2 linked regions of the Tribolium castaneum genome follow. Each later gene encodes a partner of the first gene's protein in a complex. Links are inferred from orthologs where the notes say so. Each region holds a gene or a part of one and is shown on either strand. Other genes may lie near its edges. The genes, in order: gry and trafficking protein particle complex subunit 12.

Region 1 (3,824 bases):
ATAAATTCTAGTTGTACGGTATCAAATAACACAATGACGTTCGTCAAAAAGCAGGGAATAAAAGATAATATTCCGAAAATTTTTTCACCACACATGTGAAGTAATTAAAATAATTCATTTAATTTCTGAAATGGGGCCATAAGTAAAAATTGTGAAGCCCTTGCCGTTTTCAAAGAATAACCCCGCATAAAAAATGAAGGATCTAAGTTGACAGAATTATAACAAATAAGGTTTTTTGCACTCAAACACTCGAAAAAAGTACAAAACCAATCTTTCGTCGAATTTGAATTATTGAAAAAAAATGCGTAAAGATGTAAAGTTTGTTTTAATTATAAAAAATATTGTAGTGATTTTTTTAAATCCGGCTCAAAATGCAAATTCTATTGTTTAAGGAACCGCCAGTTTACACTTTTTCAACTCCATAACTCATCAGCCTTATAACGAATTGCTACAAAAATAAACGAAACTCTCTGTTTGAACTAAAATATATCGCACTGTAATTGATTATTATTTGAAGTTTTTGTGGGCGTGTTGAATTTTTGCTTCCGGAGGCAACCATACAAAACCAAACTTACGACTTCCATTTACTGACACAGTTTATCGTTTATGTAAATATTATCAGTACATAAAATCGCAGGAAGCGACTACAAAAGCCATATATTTTCGCTTAAAATAAACGAATCTCCAATTGTAGAACATCATAGCGCTGCCCCAACCGCACCCCTTAGAAGGGGCAAACAGTATGGAATTTTACGGGCAGAGGCCCTGGAGGCCCGGAAAATTATCGGCCGAGCCTCCCGACCCGCAACTGGAATCGAACGGAATCCAGGCAATTCAGTATTTGGAAAAGCAATTTGCGCACTCTGTACGTGGCAAAATCCCCCGATCATTATTTACAATTTTTGTTTCAACAGAACGCAATCGTTTCGCTCTATGGCTTGGCCATTTCGCAATACAAGACGTACAGATGCCCTCGGACGAGGCGCCACTTGGTGCTGCAAATGGCCGAGGAATATTACAACTCTCACGATTTCGGCAAAGCATTGACGTAAATATTTGCCATAAGTGACGGATTTCTATTTACACAGTTATTATTAGTCTCCTTACCCACATGCTGTGGGATTTTCGGGCGGAAAACTGGTGGCTGCTCTTGACGGATATTTTAGAGAAGGCAATCAGATGCGCTTATTTGACGGCAAGCGTCCAGGACTACGTCCTACTGAGTCTTGAAATTTTGGGGAAATACAGTAAGCTGAGCGTTGAGCAGAAAAAGCGCATCCATGAGAATCTCCAAAGGATTTTGAAGGTAAGGAGGCAACGAAAAGTATCGATTCCACGAAAAATTTAGAGACAGATTCCTTTCGGGGACCAGAAACTAACCCCCGATGTGTTACAACACGCCGTAATTCAGTGGCAGCCAAAGCTGCAAACCGAGCCGATTCACCTCTCGCTCGATTTGGGAAATGTCTCGACTTGCATTGAAACTAAGGCAACTTTCATGCAAGCGAAATACGAAGTCGATCAAAACGTTACGGTTGAAGTCTATATCAAGTACTTGAATTGTAACGTAAAAATTACAATTTTGATAAATTCGTTTAAGATGCTCGAGCCCCCTGCCTCTAACTTTCACAAAAGTCTCAGTCACGATCAATACTCCGTCGTATAATTGCGAATATGCCGTTGATAATCAGAATTTGAGTTCGAATTCTTTGGAGTTCGGCTCGGATGAGACGAAACGATTCGTTATTGATTTTGTACCCGACTCGAACGACGTCAACAGCGAGATCCAAGTGAGTTGGTGACTTTGCCAGCCCAAGTAACAATTTAAATGCTGTTTGTGAAGGTAGTTGCTGTAAAACAGCTCCTACAGATCACAAACTAAATGATAAAACCAATTTAACATTATACAGCTTGAGATTTATCACAGTTATTTAATTGTAATTGCCTTGGAGTCGTCTTTAAAACTTTTTACTTCCAGACAATCTTAACTGGTCAGGTCAGGTCAGGTCATAATTCCTAAGATAGTTTTAACAAAAGTTTTATAATACTCTTATAATTGCCAGGTGGTAGTCGTCTTTAAAACTTTTTATTCTCAGACAATCTTATTTGGTCAATAAATGAAATAAAATAAATAAATAAATAATTTGTTGTAAGAAAATACATATTTGCTTCATACACACTCACTGTAGTATTGAGAGCTGCGTTGTTTCGTGTATTAGTTAAAAGGCATTCTCTGGCAAATAACGGTTGCTCTAACGGCTAAATAGGCTATAGCCTGAGACGGTAAAAATATTTTGATTTTGATTTAAAAAATATCTAGTAGAAGATGGGTTGCATTTTTTTTAAATAAATTGATCACATTTTTAGTTTTCGTCGTATTTTTTTACCTTTAATTATTTATTGTTTAGTTAATGAGTTTTAAGAAGCAGTGTATTTTTAGTTTCAGTTCATGTTATAGTAGAAAATTCACGATGAGTAATTGTAGAAAAAACCTAATTAGTACACAGCACAGAAAAATGTCTTTATTATAGAAAAAAGTTGTAAAAATGGCTACGTTTTTTTTTTTGAAATAATTTTTTTTTAAATAAATATAAGGTGATTTTTTAATAGATATCTTGGTAAAAGAAACATTAAACAATCTGATGCATGTTTGGTGACATTACAAAGAACTTTTTTTTTTAATTTAGTTTTCAGAACTATCTTGCATTTTTACGGAACTTTTACTATTCGTAGAACTGGAATTTCTATTTTATTCAAAAATAGACTAATGAAAATAAGTAAAAAATATTTACTAAATTCTAGAGAAAATCAACCGACGAAAGAATGAAGTTAAAAACAGATACATATTTACTGACTTGTCTTTAGCTGGCTCCAACGCACGAACATTTATAGAATTTGTTTGATGTTAGAATTTTTTAATAGTTGTACATGAGTACAACAAAAAAAGTCCCTCTGTCAATAAAAATTGTCTTTTCTTAGAGTTTGTGAATTTTTCCTTATTTTCGGAATGAACCAATTTTTTTTGAAGAAAAAAATTTTATAAGGCAGGGGCTGCAAAATTAAGTAAATATGGATTAATTATCTCAGCATTTAATTGAAAATTAAACCAACTCTACGTTGAACACAGTTATAATTTCTGTCGGGAAATATTTAACTAAATACTACCTTATAAAACCATCTTGAAACTAAATGGTTTTAAAAAGGTTCTGTATGGCACTTTATGTTTTATCTAAATATTTATAGTCTTTATTAAATTAAAGCACTTTATCTGTAGTCTAAGTTGTCTTATAGTGGTTTTTATTGGCTTTTATTGAGAGTAATTTTTTTATAAGTAATTTTATATAGAAGATATAGTTTTATACGTTTAGTAGTCATATTTTACTGCTGTTAGAGTTAAAATTAAAAAATACGCACTTTCTAAACCTTGAAGAAATTGTGATAATTTTTGTTTTTTTTTCTTTTCTCAGCAGTAAAACTTAGTTGTTATCACTTTAAAAATCAGTTTAAAGAATTAACGCAGATTTTTTATATCTATAAAATAATGTTTTTACAAATGTGTATATTTTCGGTATTTATGAAGGGCGTTAAAATTTTACAAGTTCCTTAATAAATTCCATCAAAAGCTGGCCGTCGTTTCTAAATTTTCTACCTCGATATCGTGTTTTAATAGTTTTTAAAAGGGATAAAAGACAAATATAATAAATACGTAAAAATAAATACAGTCTTGTGCTCCGAGAAATAATTTCTTATAACAGTATTGAAACATAAATTTTAAAAACGAGTTATCTAAACTTTTATCTTTATTCCTGCAATAAAACCCTTTT
Region 2 (4,479 bases), on another chromosome or scaffold:
GACTACACTGGTGTACAGAGGCGGTTGATGTTAAAATTCACACAGCAAGTTTTGTTTTTTGTTTTCGTTTTTATTGATAAAATAAATAATAATCTAAGTTATCAAAACCAAATAATGTGGGTATTATTAACATGAAGATATTAACAAAAATACACTAGTGCATAACCATATCACCACCTACATTTTTTTGAAATCTTAGTACTTTTAATAAAATTATTATTATTTTTGCTGTTCCCAAATGCTTGAGCACACTTATAAACCAAAAGTGTAAAAATTAAATTTTGCACAACAGAAGAAATAATAAATAATAATAAATAATAATGTAATTTTTCGAGGGTTTTAGTACTTTTTTCAGCCAAAAAAAAACTCACTTATTTCGCATAAATTCCCTAAAAGAAGTTAATAACACGCCCAAAAAAAAATTACAATATCATGTCGAAAGGGCCTTCCATGGTCGAAAGTTACGCTATTTTCAGCTAAAAACTCGTTCTACAATATTTCCTCTAATACGGCGAAAAGTTTCAAATGACAAAAAAGCTTGAATCGACTTTCTATAACTATTTACTTTATGGAAAAAAATAGAATTTAGAATATGATCATCACCTACCAAATCTGTTAAAATTGTGGATAATTTTTAAAGAATAAAATTTTCCTTTTAGTTTTCTAGTTATGCGAAACCGTATTTATTTGTTTTTAAAGGTAGGACGATTTTTTTGGTTAAAGATTAAAAATTACTTTTAATCCAATAATGTTTTCAAACCAGTGTTTTGCGAAGGTTTTACTCTGAACTTAACCATTAAAAAAATAAATAAATAAAATTTTGCATCACTCGAAAACAAAAGAAATTTCGAAAAATTTTATTCAACAATAATTATCACATTATTAATATACGTTCAATGATTTTTTGTTAAGTAACATAGTTTATTAGAATCTTAGGTAAAGTAGGACAATGTCGAGTTAATTTCGAGTTAAAAAGAAACTTCAGATTAAAGCCAAAAAAAAAACAACTTCGAAATAACCTCTGTTAAGTTAACTTAGAATTTTTGTAACTCAGACCTAAGGTAGTAATTCAAAGAACCGTCATTATTTAACTAATATTAAGTCGAGCATTAAGTTTAGGTAAATTCAGAGTTATTTGACTCTAAAGATAACTCACTATTGAAAATATAACAGGTCTATTGCTAACTTTTTCGAATGCCACTCGAAATTCGGCCGCTTCTTTTTTCTTAGTAATACTTTTTTATTAGGTGTACATTTTTGAAAATAATTGGAACGAATTGGAATAACATGGAATTGTTTTTGTGAATCTACATACACCATTGGCGCTAATACGTAGGGACCAAAAAAAAAACTTTACCATAACATTTGTGGGGTCCAGGAGACTGGCTTGCTGGAAGCAGACATAGGCCTCATCAAACGAATTCTGCGCCACAGCGAGCAACCCCCGATCCACATACTCCCTCAAATCCGTCGTGTTACCCCTCAAAGCCCTTGCTTCATCAAAACAAGTCTCCGCCCCTGCCACGTCGCCCACTTGCAGTCTCAACCTTCCTAACGCCGAATACAACATATGACGTGCCGTCCCATCCCTTAAACCCACCATTAGAAACTTTCTTCCCTCGCCTATTTTTCACCTGTGACACAACTCTTCCATCATCACCATTGCCAATTCATAATCTTTCAAGGCCAGGGCACAATTAACAATAGAGTGCATGACTCGAGTCTCGCGCCCCGTCCAAAGTCGAATCGAATCGGTGCGATCCGACTCACTAATTTCGATAGGGCTGCCGTCCTCGCTCAAGCCCTGTTTCAAGTTATCCAACATTTGTTTTATCGTGGACTTCATACTGTACAGCTTTGTTAACGAGTCTTTGGGTTTACCGCAATGCATTGGCAGTTCGCTTAAGAGTAAACGAAATGAAAATGAAGCGATGGAGCCTGGACGGCCCCCATACATCTCGGGGTAAAACTGTAAAATTGCGGTAAGTGGTCGAAGGTGATTTGTGGCTAGAGACCTGGTAGAAAACGTCCGGCTTGTCGAGCTGACCAAAAGGGGCAGCTTCCGATTGAGCAACTGCAAAGGCTTTGATTTTGACTAGAAGGGCGATACGAGTGAACCACAGCTGTAACGAATGGGGCGAATGTTTGCTAGGATGGCCCGCGCGGCCCCGACCCTGGCCGTAAATGGTTAAAAGTCTCGCAGTTAAATTAATTGCGGCTCGGTATGAACCCGCTTGTACTAACTCTCTCAGTCCCCTTTCGTCCTGCGTTACGTCGCTTTCGGACAAGATACTTCGTTGCGCGGCTTCGGCCTCCCCAAGACACAAGGTGACTGCTTCCCCGATATTGTCCCCCTTTTTAAATAAGTTTAATTTTCCCCCTTTGACTATTTAGCAAACATACCAAATCCTCTTCTAGCAGGACCCCAGGCATGGTGAGGAGCTCCCTGTCTGGAAAATACGTACCGGGGGCTGCCGTGGCGCACGCAATGAGACATTGTCTGGTCCTCTCGCTAGGTATCCAGGCATCTCTCCTGCGGTCTGCTTCCGAGCCTAGTGCCACTCTGGGGCAAAAACCGTCCTAGAAAAATTTACCAAACTGTGGAACACACAATTAGGTCACTCACGTCGTTGTTTGGCGTTATGTCGAGGTTTGATATCAAGCCGTTGGAGGTAACGCTGTGGTTGTTTCCAATTAAATCGAAGAATGACGTCGTCTGATCTTTGGCTTGTGGTGGCGTTTCGGCGAATATTCGACACACTTCTGGTTCGTTTTTCTTAGCACTTGGGAGATTGTCATCTAGTTTAAGATCGGTTATTTTTGTGGAAGCTTCATTTAGTTCTTCGGATAGGTCTATTGTCTTTACTTTATCGTCGGTTTTTTCGCCGAAGTATTGACTCAAGGACGGGGGCACGCTTTCCGACATGTCTAGCAATTATTCACTAAATACCTCGATCTTTACACGAACTTATAATAAATAAATACGACGAAAGTCTGTTTACGTTCGTTTATTGACATTTGCGAGTGACTTTTTTATTAGTGACATTGACATCCACTGTAGCCAATCGTAGAAAAACTTGAAATGGGTTTATGGCGCGAATTTCTATTTCTATTATTAACACCAACGTCGCATTTTCCCTCGAAATTAACTGTTCTAAATTATTCATGCCCTTCAAAAAATTAATAGCTAATGTAATTTATACAATCTGTCTATAAATGAATGTAGGATCGTAGTAGGTTTCAGAAGTTTGCCGTTTTGTTCAAGAAAAAACGAACAATGTTAGTTTTACTGGTACTTTTCAGAAATTTGATAGTAATAAAATAATTAAATGCGGCAAATTTAAATTACAGAACCACCTGAGAGCCAACACTCTTTTATAAACAGTCCGTAGTTTCAATGAGGGATCTAATCTTTAATAACTATTTTACATTTTTATACAGCTTAATTAAAAAGCAACGTCACATTTTACCGAATTATCTTTTTACATAAGACTGATAAAACTGTAAAATAGTTATGAATGCTAAGATCTCTCATTGAAAGAAGAAATTGTATTAGCTATTTATTAGCTTTGTTCGCGGAGGATTTTTAGAACTAATTCTGAAGTAGTCCAGGATTTATTTACAGCGCATGTGCGGTTCTGAACCAGTTATGGATTTTAGTCAACCGCAAACGATAATTTATCGTTGTCAAGTACACAACAAATGTTTAAAAACTAACAAGCTACAAAAATTTGAACAAAGTTAGAAATGAGTTATTCGAAAAACCTAAAACGAAAAGGTATAAATTGTAGAAAACAACCCATTTTCAAATTTACAAACATTATTTTATATACAAATAATTACGATTTAGTAAAGTATTAACTAAATTCCGGTAATCAAAACAGACAGTTTATTTATATTGATTCCAATCTCAAAAATATTCAAAGACATGAGAGTAACAGAGACAAAACCGCTTTCAACTGCGCACGTCTAGAACTAAAAATCCTTCGTCGAGTCCCAGGATCGTTGGGACTAATTCTGAACCGATCCGGGATTCAGCGTACTAGAGCTGGAACTAGTTCAGGATCGCTACCGCGAACAAAGCTGTTATTTTTTTGAAATGCATGAATAATATAACAGCTAATTTTGAGAGAGAATGCGACGTTGGCGTTTTTATATTTTTGAAACAGCTAACAACTGTAGTTTCAAATGTAAATAATATGACAAAATCCAAATAAAAAAATGACTTTATTAATACGTAACAATCACTATCAAGTAGAAACTTATAAATACGATAAATTATTCTTGAAAGGCAAATCCATGACTGTAATTACTTGTTGAAATATTTAAATAGCTAATCCATATACTGATACAATGCAGAACATGGTCTTGTTCTCCCAACGCACGGTGCAGCTCCCATCCGTGTTATTATCCCAATAGCACGAACTAGCGGTGTGCAAACCGGCCCCGTTCTTCTGCATTATGGTACAGGTCACGATG

The links.
Region 2: gry (region 1) and trafficking protein particle complex subunit 12 share a complex: the UniProt entries of both Homo sapiens proteins name them as parts of the multisubunit TRAPP (transport protein particle) complex. The link is inferred for Tribolium castaneum from reciprocal best matches to the Homo sapiens genes TRAPPC11 and TRAPPC12.

The regions. Positions count from the first base shown.
Region 1 is NC_087395.1:23,291,080-23,294,903, forward strand, and holds part of gry (trafficking protein particle complex subunit 11), read left to right. Parts: intron 1-694; coding exon 695-865; intron 866-914; coding exon 915-1,048; intron 1,049-1,098; coding exon 1,099-1,306; intron 1,307-1,348; coding exon 1,349-1,551; intron 1,552-1,600; coding exon 1,601-1,790; intron 1,791-3,824. UniProt on the Homo sapiens protein: Involved in endoplasmic reticulum to Golgi apparatus trafficking at a very early stage.
Region 2 is NC_087396.1:17,553,986-17,558,464, forward strand, and holds the start of trafficking protein particle complex subunit 12, read right to left. Parts: upstream 3,065-4,479; 5' UTR 2,927-3,064; coding exon 2,627-2,926; intron 2,581-2,626; coding exon 2,404-2,580; intron 2,355-2,403; coding exon 2,016-2,354; intron 1,970-2,015; coding exon 1,635-1,969; intron 1,590-1,634; coding exon 1,358-1,589; intron 1-1,357. Other genes in the region: Dlc90F (dynein light chain Tctex-type), read right to left, coding at 4,326-4,479. UniProt on the Homo sapiens protein: Component of the TRAPP complex, which is involved in endoplasmic reticulum to Golgi apparatus trafficking at a very early stage.